3 linked regions of the Caenorhabditis elegans genome follow. The protein of the gene in region 2 interacts with the protein of the main gene of each other region in a biochemical or structural test. Each region holds a gene or a part of one and is shown on either strand. Other genes may lie near its edges.

Region 1 (6,550 bases), on a different chromosome or scaffold from region 2:
AGGCGCGTGCACAACACTTTTGAATAAATGCAATTTTCATTTAAAACTGTAAAGCTGTAGCGTTCAAAGGCGCAGGTATTCAAAAATTCGAAAAAAAGTTTCAAATTGCAGCCAATTGGTGTTTGGATGGAAAAAGGATGCGGAGCCGACTTGGTCATCAATATTGTGCTCACAATTCTCGGCTTCATACCCGGAGTCATCCACGCTTGCTTCATTATTTGTTGGTACTAACCTTGATTTCATATAAATAATTATATTTTATATACTCACCCGGGTCATATTATTCACGTTTTCATAAATTAATATTTTGTATTTCCTACCAATTTTTATTAGCTAGAGTTAGGGCTGTTATGAGGGACGTCCCTTTTTGGGGGGCGGGGGCGATCATTCGTCCCCCTCATGGGGGCGAGGGACGCCCCCGTCCCCTGGTTGGGGGATGGGGGACGACCCTCGTCCCCGATGTGACGAAAAGTCGCGTCCTATTCATTTTTACTTATATTAGATATTCACCTCATTTAAAATATTTTTACGTGAAACTCGTTTCCGTTAAATTGTGCGGGTCCATCGTGGATATTCCACACAAAAAACGTGTCACTTTAATAATTATGAAGCAAAATCATAACTTGTTTTGCTATCGACATGGAGGATACAAACGCACATTTTTCGCACTGGATGAAGGAAGCGCCCCCACGAGGGGACGAGGGGCGCCCCTTTTCGTCCCTCATAACAGCCCTAGCTAGAGTCGTTTAACAACAGGAAAAAAAGTTAAAAAAATGAATGGTACAGTAGTTTTCAGTTTTAAAGATTAACGAACAAGGCAAAGCAATAAAATACAACAAAACAATGGAAGCTATGAAAAATTGGGAAATGATACAGTATCAATTATATTAGCAGCTTCACATTTCTTCGTGGCTGATGTGACGTACTAGAATTGGAAAATAAGGATCTTCTTGCTTCGCTTCAACCTTCATATTCTTGAGACTCACTGAAAAATATTTATTTTTATTTTAATTTGTGTCTCAACGACTAAATATCTTACAAAGAAGGCCCTCAAAGGCGGTTGCTGCCTTTTTACGATCGTGATCCGCAGTGAATTCATTGAAATTCACCCATTCTGGATATCTTGCTTCTGCTTCGCTGAAAAATTGATTTTTTTTTGATTTTTCGTAGTTCCAATTACGATCAAAACTGAGCGATTGACCTGCCAATGCGTCGCACAGAAAAAGAGGCGGGGTGTTGTTCTGCAAGCCTGCGGCTCGTGGACAACTATGAAATAATTTTTCGCGAAAATTCTGGATTTCGGAATATTTTCGCTAATTTCGTTGTTGTTAATATTCGAAATAAACTGACTATTTATGGTATTTTTCCGGCGAAAATGGCAAATTTTCGTTGAATAAACTCCAAATTTTTAGATTATTTCGAATATTAAACACAAAAAAATAAGCGAAAATTATCCGAAATCAAGCATTTTAGACAAAAATTTATTTACAGTTTTCCACAATGGCTGGCGAGCCGCAAGTTTAAAAAAACGACGCTCCGCCTCATTTTGTGTGCGGCGCCTTGCAAAATTTGCAGGTCGATCTTTCTGTTTTAGTGTTAGTATACACACTTGAGCAATTCCTTGTGGATGTTGAGCCGATTATTGGGAAGGAGACTTCCAGATGAATAGAAGAATAGTTCATCTTCTCTAGCATCTCGAGTCCGTTCTTCATCCTCGAATAGTCGATTACGGCGAGTATCCTCTTCCAGATCGTCAGCTGAAAATATTTTATTTTAAACTATAAAGTGGGGGCGACAACCGAAAGTTTGAAAAATAATCGGCGAGTATAACAAAAAAATCGAACAACGAAAATTCTCGATTTTTCAAAAATCCAAAAATAATGTTTTTTACTTTAGTAAAAAAAAAACCAAAAGCCCGACACAAACCATCGGTTTGCTTATTTTTTTAAAACAATTTTGGTCATTTTCTACCTAAAGAAATCCAAGATATTCTAAAGAATAAAATTATATGTTTTCTTATTTTTTTTATGAGCAAAAAAAAAATTGATTTTATGATTTAATGTGATTTTTATCGTTCATTCTCTGAAAATGTAAGAATTTTCGATTTTCGAGGAAAAAATCGAAACATTTTTGACCTTTTATTCCGAAAATTGGAATTTTTTTTTGGTAATTCGAGAACTGCCCAATTTAAACATTTTCGGCAATTTTCGGCAAAAATTATTTTCAACACTAAATCGACATTAAAATATCTCACTTCTCATAAATTGAACCCCTAAACTGCTTTTTTGACGGCGTCGAACATTTTCAAGTTCTTCTTCGGTTCTCATCGTCAAAAGTGGATCAATTTCTTCAACTGGAATAGGATCCAAATTCAGTTCAGCAATGATGCTCGTCTCCCGGCGTTTCTCTGGAGTTGGGAACAGACTAATAACTGAATATTTCAAATCTTTGATCGGCGTGGGCGTACGAGCAGTTCTTATTGGATGCGGGGGCGCTTCATATTCCAAATTCTCAAAAACTGGATTCTCCTGTAGCTGTCTTGGCGGGTTGATATTATCCGTAGATGGAAATTCTTCAGGTTGACGAGGTTGCTCTTCTAGAAGTAGAGTATCCTCAACGATGCGATTTGGAGACAGAAGACAAACTTTTGCATATTTATATTCTTCCTCTTCTTCCTCATCTTCATCCTCTTCATCATCGCTCACTGGACTTCCAACAGCTTGATTATAACAAGCTTTGAACATATCCCGAACCTCTGGAGGAAGACGATATCCGATACTGAAAACTGGTTCTGGTAAGTTCATGAGCACCGCGACTGCATCCGTTTTTGGTGGAATCTTTGCTATTACATCCTCCTTCTTACGAACCAGTGAGGAATAATCGGCTTGTAACACTTTTTGCACAGCTTCGTCGATTTCCAGATCATCGCTGTGGATGATCGGCAGATTGCGTTTCGATTTTTTCCGTTGAGGTAGAACATCATGAATTTGGGAGTCTATTGCGAAACTCGGATCTTCCGGTCGCACAGTTGAATGAAGATCTGTCAAATCGGTTTGATTAATCGGAGTTACTGGACGCGATGATGGTCTTCTTCGTGCTCTTTCCAACGCGTCTTCTTCCTCTTCGACTTTTGATTTCTTTGCTGGAGGTGGTAGAATTACATCTTCAAACAATTCTAAATCTTTCGGCAATGGTGGCAGTCGGCTGTTCTCGTCATCGGGTAAATCGTTGATCAATTGAAGATATTCAACAACCATATCCTGCTGACTCGCTGGAATGGTGACAAGATCAATTGCATCTAGTTGTGGTGGAAGCTCTGGCTGTGGAAGCTCAAGCTGTGGCGCGGGCTCCTCGATAATTGGTTGAATGGGCTCTTGAATAGGCTCCTGGGGTGCTGGTTGTTCCACGGTTTCACTCGGGAGCAGAGCAATAGAGACAAATTTTGTAGGCTCTTCTTGCACAATTTCAGAAGCTTCTTTGGGGAGCTGAAGAGCCTCTTCTTGCTCTTCCTGGAGGATAGCAGATCGTTTTCTGGAATCGACATCTATCGGAAATTTCTCGCCAAGTGTGATTTCAGGGATCTCAGGGAACAAAAGTTGGCTGAAGTCGGCAATTACCGCGTCATTTCGTCGTTCCTTGTTGTGCTCATTTGAACCGTTACCCTCGACAAACGTGGAGTGCATGGTGATTTCTTTTTCTCTGAAACACGAAAATTTTACTTTTGAAATTAATTTAAAATTAAACTATCAATCCATCAATTTTGCAAAAAGCAATGTCGCACAGAAATAGAGGCGGAGTGTAATTTCTCTACCCTGTGGCACGGTTTTTTCAGAGCTTTTGTTGATTTTTTTAAAATAAAATTTCGATTGTAATTGGTTTATTCTCTTTTTTTCGAATGGAAATGCAATCCGCATAAATTCTCATAAGATTATAAGGATATTTAGAGCTTCATTGGTTGTAAAAACAGGAAATATCCTCGCAATCTTATGCAAATTTAATTGGATAGCATTTTCATACGCAAAATGCGAATAAATCAAGGAAAATCGAAATTTTATTGAAATAAGGTGAAAAACCGTGCCGCAGGGTTCATGTGCGTCGCTGCTTTTTTTCAAAATCTGGGATCGATTATTCAGTTCCGAACCTCAGGTAAGGCTCAACACATCCATAGATCGCATTCAATTCTGAATTATTGTCAATCCACTGATTCATGTTGGGCAACGCATCCATCATTATAAAGTCTCCTGGATTTCCATTGATCTAGAAGAATATTCTTGATTATTGATTATTTAATTAACTTGAACTCACTCCCAATTCGTCGCCAATTGCTTGTAAATGAGCCAAATCAACCCGATCCAACTCCTCGACGCACATAATAGGCTTAGATCTCAGTCTTGCGAATTTATCTTCTTTTCTCTGCAACTCTTGGTTTCTGTCGAACCTTTCAGCCATCAGCAAAATGAAACTTTTCTTCTTCATGAGCTCTTTGAGCTTCTCGACGTCTCCTGAAAATATTAATTGATTTCTGACGATACAATTCTCCAACTCACGTTTCAAGAAATCAACCTGAACTTGATGGATCAAAACTGTTCCATATGTGAGCAGGGATAGCAAATAAAGTCCAGTTTTTGTTGCTGAGCCCCTGTGCCGTTCGGGAACCATTTCAATGATTGAATGACACAGTTCCGGGAGATTTTGGTCCAAAATCTCTCTTCGTGACAGCTTTTTCGAGTCGCCGGTACCAAGAATCCTGGAAAAGCAGAAATTATAAATTAGATTGAAAAGATGAGAAAACTCACCAAGCCACGTGAAACACGGCATCTTTTCGAATTACTTCCGCAGAGACAACCATCTGCAAGAAAATACATTTTCGACTGATTTTACGGTTTTCACAACGGCAAAATATCAGTTTTTAAAAAATTAAACCATAAAACAAATAATATAACCCAATTTTTACATCAAACCACAAGAAAAAAATACATTTGGGCCCACGGATAAAGAAATTAAAAAAATACATTTTTTAAAGGCGCACCGAATTAAAATTCATTTGGGTCTTACCGCGTATACCGTACTCCGTTTGTTTGATCATTTTTGTCAGCGCTGGCGGTTGTTTTTTCATTTCATTTCTGCTTCAAAGACGTTTTCTCGAATAATTTTTCGTTTATTCTCTTTTTTAAAATTAATTTCTAGCCGTAAATGTTATAAATTCACCCATTTAACGCAAATTTCATGGTAATCTCATGGAAAAATGCAGTTTCTTTGTTAAAGAAAGCTTAAATAGCAAAAATTCCCCGACTTTCCCCAAAATCCTGCTCGATTTTCCGTTTTCTCATTGTATTCTCTCTTAATTAATTTTATCGATAATCAATTGAATGTTTCAGACAGAGAATGAAAGCGGCATCAAATAGTGTCTCGTCGGCCGGAGGATCAGTGTCACCTACGACAACCCAGCCACCACTACCACCAGGGCAGTCGTCACATCCTCAAATCTACGATCAACAGGTATTCACAATCAACAAATGTTGATAATATTACAGTTATATTTTTCAGATGCAGTACTACTTCGCGGCTGCCATGCCGAACCAGCCAATGGCGACGTATGCGGCACAAAATGGATCTTCTCAACAGTACGCCCCAGCGGCTCCATATTATCAAGATGCCAACGGACAGTATGTGCAGGTTCCCGCGAACGGATCAATGGCTCCTCAACAGCACATGATGGTTTCTGGTCAACCGTATCTCTATATGGCTCAACCACAACAAGGAGCTCAGCAAGTCATGCAGTCAGGACAACCACAGCTCATCTATTATCAACAATCAATGGCTCCACAAGCGGCTCCAATGTACTTCCATCCTATGCAAGCCGCACCGATGCTTCCAGAACAAATGGGTGTGATGCCACATACGCAGCCGGCAATTCCACCTCAACAACAGCCAAGACAAGTGGGAGTGGAGATTAGTAGCACACGCACAGCTCCATTGACCTCGTCTACTCCTCTTCCAACAAGTCTCGAATACGAGACTGTTCAGCGTGATAATCGCAACAGGAACATCCAATTCAGATATCATCGGTAATATTAGTTTGAAATTTAATATAAAAATTATATGTTTTTCAGTGTTATGGAGCATGACGAGTTGCCGATCGATGAGATCTCAAAGATCACCCTTGACAATCACAACGATGACACGATGAGCGCTGAAAAGGAAAATCATTTCCATGAACATCGTGGCGAGAAGTTCGGTCGTCGTGGATTCCCAATTCCAGAAACTGACAGTCAACAACCACCCAACTACAAGACTCGTCTTTGCATGATGCACGCATCTGGAATCAAACCATGTGATATGGGTGCTCGATGCAAGTTTGCTCATGGGCTCAAAGAGCTCAGAGCTACTGATGCTCCGGCTCGCTATCCGAACAACAAGTACAAGACAAAGCTGTGCAAGAACTTTGCGCGTGGAGGAACTGGATTCTGCCCGTATGGACTTCGTTGCGAGTTTGTTCATCCAACGGACAAGGAATTCCAGAATATTCCTCCATATGTGAGTTTCCACT
Region 2 (4,129 bases):
CTATATTTTGCTATAATAAAATGAACAACAAAATTTCACGAAAAAATGATTGAAAACGAGTGAAATCAACGAAACTGAATGAAAATTTTGGAAAAATAATACATTTACGTATTTTCCGCAAATACCTAACGAGACCCAAATTATCGGGGCGGAGTCTTTCTATTTGGCGTTGGAGCGCGATTGCATTCTGATTTCAAAAGATGCGTTATTCACAAGTGAAAAATGAAACTTTAATTTTCTTAATCAGACAAAAAATGTGAGATTTTTGAAGAAATCGGAGAAAACGGTTCAGCAATTAGCATGAGTTCTCAAATAAAAATGTGTTCTCAGAAATCTCGAAAGAAAATAAAAAAATTAGAAAATTCTAGTTGTATAACTAAATTATAGCCAAAGTACCACATCATCGAAACCTATAATTACACCGCCCGCGCTTAATCGGTAAAAGTTCCCTGTAATTTAAAAATTTAATTTAATTTTTTGTTGTCCAGAATGACATCTTGTGAAATATGCTTTGTTTGAGAAAAACAACTTTTTGAAAATGTCCCCGCACCACTTACTGAAAAAATTATAAGTTTTCGAGGACTTAAAAAGGGCACAAGAAGTGCTTGAAATTGTTGGAGCACGTGAATTTCAAAAACCTCATGTTTTGAAATTTCAAGTGTACTCAGTACTAAGCTTAGTTGTTATTTTTCCTTTTGGGACTATAAAGTCGCACGGTGTGATAAAATAATCCTAAAGAAAATCGAAATTTTCTTGTCGCTTTTAAATTTTATTTTTTTTTTTTTCTCAAAAATCTAAAAATGCAAATGAACCTCAACGAAAAGAAGCAGCTGCTCCGAGTGCGAGTCTACGCGACATCTGAAAAAGGAGAAAATCTCGGGAGGTACTAATTGAGTTGTTGTAGATATATTGAGAAAGATGGAGAACGAGAAAAGAAAATAAATTTATGTTGAATGAATGGGGTTAGACGATTGGGAATAATAGAGTTCGCGAAACAAAAACTACATGAAAAATTGGTTGACAAGTTATTTCACTTTTTAAAATTTCTAGTAAATGTGATGAGATCCTTTATTTGACAGACAGACGAGATGATTGAAAGAAGGACGGGAAAATCAGTAGTTGATCAGTGATTCCGAAGACTTGCTTCTTTTTCAATCTTTTGCTGCTTCTCAGCTCTAATTTTTGCCTCCATCATTCCCTGGATCCAGTAGTGTTCCTTCACCTGTAATAATTTAATGAATTATGATAATTAAGAACACTACAAAAGTGTACTTCTGTGTGCTGATAATATGTTGGCCACTAAGCTGAAATCAATAACAAACCTGTTCAAGCGTACAGCGAGCCTTGGGATCAACGACAAGCAATCTTCCAATCAAATCTCGTGCACCCTTCTTCACAGAATCAGGGTAAGTAAACCGTGCCGCTTTGATTGCCGCATATGTCTTGGACTGATCTTCGTGCTCGAATGGGGGTTTTCCAACGAGAAACTCATAGCAGAGAACGCCGATTGCCCATAAGTCAACTGCGTCACTGTGATCGGCTCCATTCACCATTTCAGGAGGGAGATAGTCCATTGTTCCGCACATTGTTTGGCGCCTGAAAACATGACAGTGAATTTTTGGAAACATCTAGATTTCCTAAATTTGAGGATAAACTCACTTATTCGAAGGAGCATGAACACTCCATCCAAAATCTCCAATTTTCAATTCTCCTTGTGATCCGATAAGCAAATTCTCCGGTTTAATGTCGCGATGAATCACATTTTTCCTGTGGCAATATGACAAAGCATCTGCGATCTCATACATATATTTTGCAGCTGTTGGCTCTGAGAATCTCTTGCTCACTGTCAATTGCTTGTACATTTCGCCTCCGGGGGCATATTCCAAAACGAGATAGATCTTCTTCGCATCCCAAAAATATGTGTAGAGCTTGATAATATTCGGGTGATTCAAATGAGATTGAATCTCAATTTCACGCTCCAATTGATGCTCGACGCCTCCTGAGATGAGTTGCGATTTGAATAGAACCTGAAAATATGTATGGGTAAAACGGATGTCAGAAAAATGATAATTCAAATAAATACAAAATAAATCAATATGTTACCTTGATCGCTACATGGAAATGTCCAGTTTTTGTGCGAGCCAGGTAAACACTGCCGAATTTTCCTTTTCCCAGTGGTCTTCCGATCTCGAAATCGTTAATAGTAAATTTTCTGTAAAATCAAGAATAATTTATAAACTTTTAAAACCTTGATTTCTTACCCTCCCTTCTGTGGAGTATTCACAGTTTCCTTCTCTGGAAGGTTGATTACAGGTGGCTTATTCTCCATGTCGGAACTGAAAAGTTTTTTATGAAGAAATAAAATAGACGGCACGATTAAGGACAAATTAACTAAAAGAAAACATCACGATAAATTTATAAATTGAATTAATTAGAAGTTCAATGGCCCAATTTTTAATTGAATACATTTAGATATTTATGTAGAATAAAAATAGGACTAATTCTGCTTTGATTTCAAAAAAAAGTGAGAAATCAACACATTACCTGAGTAAATATGTTTACAAAAAACGAGTTTTGATTGCAAATAATTCTAAAGAAACTAAAAATTGTCAGCTGGATAGTAAGGAGAAATGCAAGCCGTTTAAATAAAAAATTAACGCGGCAAAATGCAATGGTCCGCAATATGTCGTCATGTACGGTGTAAATGCGTACTTGGCCCTGTGCCAGGCCCGTTTATCCTGCTTTTTTGTTTGTTTTAAATTAAATTAAATTGTATTTATATATTTTTGTTCTTCTTAAATGTTTTCCTATCAAAACAATCCGTAGAAAATTAAGATTCAACTAGAAAATTTCAGTACTCATTGGACTATGTACGGAGTTCTTGTAATTGGAGCTCCTGGAGCTGGAAAATCTACATTTTGTGCAGGATTAACGGACATTTTCTCACAAACCAAACGACCATTTCTCACTATCAATCTTGATCCTGCTAATGACACAATGGCATACGCACCTGATGTAAATATCACTGTAAGTATTTTATTCCAATGAATATAGGACAATAATTATGAAACGTGGTACAGATCATCTATCAATGTTATTTTAATACTTAAGGTCATATTTTTCATTTAAAATACTAAAGTTTAGGAAATGATCACTGTGAATGATGTAATGGATCGACTTGGACTTGGACCAAATGGAGCTCTCAAATACTGTATTGAAACACTTGGAGCTAATTGTAATTGGCTCCTCCAGGTAATTTTTTTGGCAGAAAAAGTTAATTCTCAAAAGCTAAAAATTGTTTTCACAACAATTGAGCTAAAATCTGGAATTCTCTAAATTTGAATCGAGAAAATCGGAAATCATTTTTAACCTCTTTGTAGTTTTAATATTCAATTAAATCTTTTTTCAGAAAATCGAAGCGAATCACAAGAAATATCTGATAATTGATTGTCCCGGACAGTTGGAACTATACAAAAGCGAAGGCGAACTATGGAAAGTTATCCGCTTTTTGGAAAAATCCGGTGTTAGACTATGTGCCTTACATCTTGCCGATTCACTTTACTGCAGTGACCCATCGAAATTCATTTCTGTTGCATTATCCACATTAGGTAAGAGTTCATTAAGATTAAAAAAAAATTGAAATACTTTTCTTGTCTCTCGACCCGAAATTTCCAAATATAATTCAGCTGATTTCCTCCAAAAAATGAAAATTTATTTTTGTTCTGTACAATTTTGAAACTCCATGGGCCTTTATGTATTTCTGGCTAAGAAATGCAATATCTTTCTGGCACATAAAACTTTCATTTAATCTGAAACCTATTTTTGTTATTTATTTGATTTTAGATGGAAAAAATTGAAATTCGGAACCACTTTAAATTTTGTGTGGCTGAAAGGAACAAATTAAAATTATATTCATTAAAAAGCTTCAATTTCAGCGACAATGGTAACAATGGAGATGCCACAAGTAAACTGTCTGTCAAAAGCAGATCTTTTCTCTGAAGACGGGACCTATGATCTCGAGTTTTTCTCCCATTTACCTGATGTCAATCGACTTTTGGATCTTTTGAATGAAGTTCCCGGATTGGAAAAATATCGAAAATTGAATGAAGCAATTTGTGGAGTTATTAGC
Region 3 (6,537 bases), on a different chromosome or scaffold from region 2:
GTTTTTTTTGAAAACACGTTATATTGTTCTTCCCAGAAAGGGTGAGAATTTTTACTTCAAGAAGTACTCTTTTTTATAGTTGCATGGAACGTGTTCAGTACAAAGGATTGTTTTTCTTTTTTTAGATTCAGAAATCCAGACTAAGCTCAAAATTTTCGAAACAAAAATAACAAACCAGCGTAAAGTCCTCGAATTCCGTCCAATTTATAAGTATCCTTGAGACAAACAATCCAATTTGAATAGAGATTCGGGAATGTTTGTACTTTTACTTTAACTGTATCTAATGGTTGTCCAGCATACACGTTGGCAATTCCACCAGCTGTTCCAGCCAATAAATCGATAATTCCATCTTTAAAATGATTGGCTGAAGCATCACCCGTTGCAGTTGTAGGTTCACCGCTTTCATGCATATTTCTATCTATTTTATTTTCTGAAATAACAAAAATTGGAAGAAATGGTTTTGAAAATTTCCAGAAAATTTAGATCACGATCATTTTTTCTTGTTTGCTAAATAGCTGGTTTTGTTGGTTTTTCGGACCAAAAAACAAAAAATTTAACTTTTGAGTCGTGAGGAGGAAAACAAAACGACAATTTCTTTTGGTTTTGGGAAGTTAAATTTTTTGTGACTTTGTGATCACGATGAGCACAATAAAGGAGGATTTAAATTTCCTCTGTTTAGAAAATAAAACATTGAATCTGTATAAACTTCAAAATATATAACCATGAGGTTGAAAATAAAACCAAGAAGAAAAAAAAATAAATTTCAACGAAAAAAAAGTGAAGAAATTGTATTTATTGCAACTTGCAATGGTGACGGGGATCGGGAGTGAAATATATTGATATAACAGAGAAAGCTGATTGATATTATTGAACTGGGAATTGAAAGGTGGAAGGGAGAGAAAATTGTTAATAAATACGTCAAAAATCAAATAAAACTCGGATAAAAGGAAGAATGAAAAAGAGAAAAGAGAAAAAAGGCCAGAGATCCACAGAGACAAAAAAATCTTAAAAACGGGATGGGAAAGTTTGCATCACCTTTTGAAACAAAACAACGTCATCTGAGAATGACCACGTGACAAGTGATAATGTGATGTGATCTGACACCGTCGATCATCTTTAATCTTTTGTATGAACATTCTTTACACGGTATGAAATGAAATCAAAAGTTATAATTAGTGATGAGAATCACAACGATATTTTGGATAATGAAGAAATGCTACGAAAATGGGAAATATGGTTAATTCGAAATACAGAAAATTAAAGACTTTCTAGATGATTCGGGCTTACGACACCGACAAAATATAAGTTTTAATTATGCCCAATGAGAAGAAAATACATTTTACAGCTACTTTTCCGGAAACAAAACTATGAATTATGACACTTTTAATCTTCTAGAATCAAATAGTTGCGAGTAACTTCTTCGAAACAATCTCGTAAACCATTCGCTTTCTGTAGTATGGCATATTTTTCTGCGTGAAGCGAGGCGTCGTTCGTCGAGATGCCCATTCACCGAATTGGCATGAGAATACTCCACAGTCACTGCCATTTTGTTGACGAGGAATGTCCTAAACAAGATGATTATCGCGTGTTGAAGATCTTTTTGTGTGTGTAATTTCAGAAGTATTACTGGTTGTTTTAGAGAGCATAGATATCAAAAAAAGAGTGATTGAGCCAAACATCTGGACTTCTAAAAAAAAACTTTTTTTCAGAAATAAATTTAAAGTAAAAATCCTTTTTTTTATTTAATTTTTTTAAAATTCAATATACCGTCATCTGTTGAATTGTCCATCCAGAAAAGTTCATTGCTGTCTTTTTCTTATCCAATGATTCAGCTTCCAAGTAACCTCTGAAATATAAAATATTTATTGATATATTCTCTGTGAGTTTTTTAAATAAAAACCAAAAACACTCAAAAAACTAACCGCAATGCTGGCAAAACGGCTGTATTTCCATCATAAAGAGAGTCATAAAACTCAATCTTCTTTTCGCCCATATCGATAACAGCCATACACCAATGCATTCCAAGATGAACTGGCACCAAAACGATGTCGAATGCAAAGATATCGACTTTTCTTGTCCATCGTTTCACACTCGCGTATCCTTTTGAAACAATATTGGAATAAAAGAATGTGTTGAATGCATAGATCTTTGGATATTTCGAATCGCCATTGCTCCGATCACAAATCAATTGAAGATAGAAATTGATGATCTCATCATTCAGCCAATGCAATCCACTCAATGTTGCAAGATCTTTTTTACAGATCTGAATGCTGAATGCATCCACAAATTGTTCATTTGGATTCCCTCCGCTCCATGCTCTTTCTACAAGAGCATCAGCAGCATCAGGTAAAGCCATAAAATCATCAACTTTCTTCTTCTCCACCTTCGGACGAATAGCGATTCCTTGCAATTCAAGTCTCTTCCGAACATCTTCCAATCGATCACCTCTTGTTTGAGAGCGATGTCCTTCTCGTATCCGAGCCTCTTCTAGAAGTTTATCCTCCTTCTGCTTCGACAATTGATAAGAATTCTGATATCTCTGCGGTCCTCGATATGCGGAACCGATTCCAAGGCTATTAATTTGCGAGAGAATATCATTGAGTTTCCTGTATGAATCAGATTCCGACGAATTTGATCGGGCGTGTTGGCGGTAACTTAAATTTATATTATTGCTTGAATTGATGAAAAACTTAAATAAATACCTTGAAGAAGTGGACTCTTCGCTATCAATGATGATGGATGGTTCTCTTGATAAGAGTGAAGGGGTGTTGCTTCGGGATCCTCCCAATTCTGCGATTTTCTGAAGAAAAAAGATCAGAAAGTTTTAAATAACAGTAATATCCTGAACATACATTCTTCGCTCTGGCTAATATGTCAGTTGATGATGTTCTCTGCATTTTCTTCGGTTTTTTTTCAACAATTCCAGAAATCGCTTTAGCTTCGTATTGTCCACTTGCAACAACTCCTTGAAGAAGTCGATCGCGAGATGACAGGTGATTTTTTATCTGAAATAATTAAACCTTAAAAATAAATAATTATCTATAAAAACAGTGGACCGAAATTAATTCTAAATAACAAAATCGTCTAATGTATCCGTTCCAAAATCAATTTTAATGTTAAAAAATTGAATCTTGTAGGTTTTGCGGACCATTTGGGAAGAAAAATCTTCCAAAATGGTTTTTAAAAAAACCTATAAAGTTTAATAATAAGAAGTTTTTGGCATTTAGAATTAATTTCTGAAGCTTCAGTTTGATACACTGAAAATTGTAATTTCTCACATTAGTTTCTCTGCTTCATAAAGAAATAATTACCTTCTTTAAATCAATAATCGTGTTCATTTTCCGAACAGAAGTTGAGTGCTTAAATTGATGTCTAACAGGGACCCGTCTCAAAACCTCTGGCTTTTTAGCAGAATTCCGTCTCCAATAATCACGAACATTATTTGATGTGTAATTTGATAATGATGATAAGCTCGGAGTAATCGGACGACTAACACTGTCATCGGGTGTCGGTGAGATAAATTCTTTGCTCCTAGAGTCAGAAATAACTGATACATCGTCTGGTGTGTCTGGATTGTCGTTGAGAAAGATCAACTAAAGTTTGATAATTTATTATAATAGAATTATTCGAATACTAATACCTCATTCTGAAATCGTCTTGCTTCTTGCAATTGCTTATTTGGTGTCTTGACTACTTTCTCGAAAAGAACGTCTGGTTCCTCATCATCCTGTTGTACTTCAAATGACTTTTCCAAATTTTTTGGCGACTTTGGGGAAGATGATAAGGTGAGCACTAAATCTCCTTGAACTTCTTGTTTTTCTTCGTCATTCCGAATTTCAACGTTTTTTTGAACATGTTTCTCAATGATAACTTCATTTTCCTCTGATCCAGCATTGGCTCTCACAGGTGCATCTTCGTTCAGAAAAATCATATATTTCTTGTTCTGTAACAACTGTGGTCATGTTTAGTTAGGGGGGGGGGGGGGGGGGTTTATATACCGTATATTCTCTATTAGTGCTGCATCTCCAGTAGTACTGCAGTCTCTAATAGTGCTGCATTCAAAAAGGGTCCGAAAAATAGTGCTGCAGTCTCTATTAGTGCTGCACCCCATTTTCTATTGAAAGAGTCACTTGACAGTTTCGATATTTTTGGGTATTTTTTTGTATATTTTATGATTTTTTGATAATTTAGGAAAGTAATTGAATTATTGGGTCTTTTTTTTACAAAAGTTCGCAATTTTTATGAATTTCTGCTTAAAATATGAGGTTTTGTGATTAAAAACTAGTGATCTATAATTGAAAATAGCCGTTCGAAAATTAATGCTGCAGTCTCCAGTAGTACTGCAGTCTCTAATAGTGCTGCATTAAAAAAGGGCCTGGAAATTAGTGCTGCATGCAGCACTAATAGAGAATATACGGTATTTGCTGAACTTAACTCCGAAAGTTAATTTATTCTCAAAATATACCTCAGCAACTCTCCTCGTCGTTCCTTCCACTATAATTTCATCATCCTCTTGAACTTGAACTTCGCCCGAAACTTCAGTTTTCTCCTTTTCTCCCGAATTACTGCTTACGAACATTCCGAAGAAGGTATTGAAAAGCCCTGAAATGTTGAAGATCGCTATTTCAAATTTATACTTTTATGGATCAAGGAAAAGGATTCACTCACCACCCAATCCTTGAGATTTCGTTTTTCTGGTTCTTTTTGTTGGCGACTGCTCTTTTTCTTCGTTTGTAACAGCTTGATCGGTTAACCAATGTCGTTTTCTTGCTAAATATTTTAATTAATTTCAGCTTATTTTTCATTCACTTCTCCTACATTGAGAGTCTTTGTCTGATAAATCAGACCTACGTGACATTCCGTTTCTCTTTCAATCGAATATCGTCTATTTTTGATGTTCCAGATTCAAGTAGCTATCCTGAAATATAGTTTTTAGCTGCTTTAAAAGATTTTTGCTATAGTAAATACTATCACAAAGGGCAACATTTTAAGTTTTTCAGCCAAAATAAAGAAGGCAATTAACCTCTAGGCAGTACGTAATCATTCAATTATTGCATAAATTACTTTTAATAAAAGAATAGATGAATGGGATAGAAGCGGAGGAGATTGGCTGCAGATCATTTTTGAATGAAATGAATAAAATTTGGGGAATCTGGAGAAAAGTTGAACTGTTAAAAAGATAAATGTGAACAAAATAAAATCCAATAGATAAAAATAGAAAGAGATCTCACCACAGGAAGACAGCCAATCAACTCTTTTTTTTTTGTTGATTCACAGTGAAAAGGAGAATTTTTGGAATCGATAATATATGGTAACGAGAGATGGAGAAAGAATAATAGTTTGTCAGCTTTTCTATAGATGGGAATATTTTCAACTTGACTGAACAATCCGGAATACAAAAAAAACAAGGAAACGAAACGGGAAAAATGTGGTGAAATTTTGAATAACTTAGTAATAAATGGTAATAAAAACAATTAGAAAGAGAATACTCGGAGACTCTTATCCAATGAACACGTCACCAATGAACGAGCATTTTCTCCGAATCTAACTCCAGTGACTGGTCCAGAATGATCAGAAAGTGATACAACTTCACTCCAGCTCTTCACATGCAAAACTTGAACTTTTTGGCCACCAATTCCTAGGAATGTTCCAGTCATGTCGAAGGACAGGGAGTTGATCTGAAAAAATTATATTTTTTCATTAAACATTTGCTTAACAATTTCTTACCGGTTGTTTCTCTTCGTTAGCGAAAGTTTTCAGATTCTTCAATTTTCTAAGATCCCATAATTTGACCTCTCCATCCTCTGATCCCGTAGCCAAATAATATCCGTTTTCAGAAAACGCAATCGAACGAACGGCAGCAGTATGTCCCGGGAATGCAGCAGCCACGGTTTGATTCTTCAAATCCCAAATCTTCACAACGGCATCCGCAGCTCCAGTTCCAAAAATAAGACCATCAGGATGGAACTCGATGGAATGAACGGCAATTTGTGATCCTGGTTCAACTGAAACCTTGCAAAGCGATTTTCCGGAACGAATGTCGGAGAATGCCCAGTAAGAATCATCAGAAGCGGAGAGAATGTAATCACCGGATGCATTGAGGGAGATATCTGTAAAACATTGTTTGTTCAATAGAAGAATTACAGCTAGCGAATTTTTTTCAAATATCTCACCTGTAACGGGTGCCTGATGGACATCAATAATAGCCTTCGAAGACGAATCAGTTGCACTCCAGACTCTAATATGTGAATCAGCAGAAGCAGAGATTGCAGTAATATTATCCGGATGCAAAACAACTGCGTTGATCTTCTTGTTATGCCCCTTGAATGTTTGCATAACCTGTTCCTTTTCATAGTCATACAAGACAACGGTTTTATCAATTCCTCCGGTAAGTGACAAATTTCCCTTGATATCCAATGCAGTAATTCCAGGAGTTCCAGTCGAATGAATTCCAGTGTGAGATGCTGTCTGTTTCAGCTCGGCGAGCTCTTCTGTTTTGGCAAGTCCTTCAGGAAGATTTTTTCCTCGTTGTTTACG

Evidence for each region. Proteins that work in one complex are often made in the same cells at the same time.
Region 1: of the proteins of air-2 (region 2) and rec-8, one has a biochemical effect on the other in vitro, tested with the Caenorhabditis elegans proteins (2 studies listed by BioGRID).
Region 3: of the proteins of air-2 (region 2) and ulp-1, one has a biochemical effect on the other in vitro, tested with the Caenorhabditis elegans proteins (one study listed by BioGRID).

What each region holds. Positions count from the first base shown.
Region 1 is NC_003282.8:13,348,345-13,354,894, forward strand, and holds rec-8 (Meiotic recombination protein rec-8), read right to left. Parts: upstream 4,850-6,550; coding exon 4,797-4,849; intron 4,748-4,796; coding exon 4,548-4,747; intron 4,503-4,547; coding exon 4,306-4,502; intron 4,258-4,305; coding exon 4,142-4,257; intron 3,700-4,141; coding exon 2,255-3,699; intron 1,758-2,254; coding exon 1,610-1,757; intron 1,138-1,609; coding exon 1,040-1,137; intron 986-1,039; coding exon 897-985; 3' UTR 778-896; downstream 1-777. Other genes in the region: W02A2.9 (Plasma membrane proteolipid 3), read left to right, coding at 112-231; Zinc finger protein mex-5, read left to right, coding at 5,386-5,499, 5,548-6,068, 6,114-6,537.
Region 2 is NC_003279.8:5,935,684-5,939,812, reverse strand, and holds air-2 (Aurora/IPL1-related protein kinase 2), read right to left. Parts: upstream 2,337-4,129; 5' UTR 2,330-2,336; coding exon 2,262-2,329; intron 2,213-2,261; coding exon 2,104-2,212; intron 2,028-2,103; coding exon 1,660-2,027; intron 1,597-1,659; coding exon 1,323-1,596; intron 1,223-1,322; coding exon 1,124-1,222; 3' UTR 937-1,123; downstream 1-936. Other genes in the region: B0207.6 (GPN-loop GTPase 2), read left to right, coding at 2,869-3,027, 3,145-3,252, 3,410-3,608, 3,936-4,129. UniProt on the Caenorhabditis elegans protein: Serine/threonine-protein kinase component of the chromosomal passenger complex (CPC), a complex that acts as a key regulator of chromosome segregation and cytokinesis.
Region 3 is NC_003281.10:5,164,882-5,171,418, forward strand, and holds ulp-1 (Sentrin-specific protease), read right to left. Parts: upstream 4,919-6,537; 5' UTR 4,859-4,918; coding exon 4,819-4,858; intron 4,771-4,818; coding exon 4,669-4,770; intron 4,603-4,668; coding exon 4,466-4,602; intron 3,944-4,465; coding exon 3,641-3,943; intron 3,594-3,640; coding exon 3,312-3,593; intron 3,006-3,311; coding exon 2,853-3,005; intron 2,801-2,852; coding exon 2,703-2,800; intron 2,655-2,702; coding exon 1,923-2,654; intron 1,847-1,922; coding exon 1,768-1,846; intron 1,566-1,767; coding exon 1,398-1,565; 3' UTR 778-1,397; downstream 1-777. Other genes in the region: T10F2.2 (Mitochondrial ornithine transporter 1), read right to left, coding at 176-410; prp-19 (Pre-mRNA-processing factor 19), read right to left, coding at 5,475-5,678, 5,728-6,110, 6,174-6,537. UniProt on the Caenorhabditis elegans protein: Protease that deconjugates smo-1 from targeted proteins and may catalyze the processing of smo-1 to its mature form.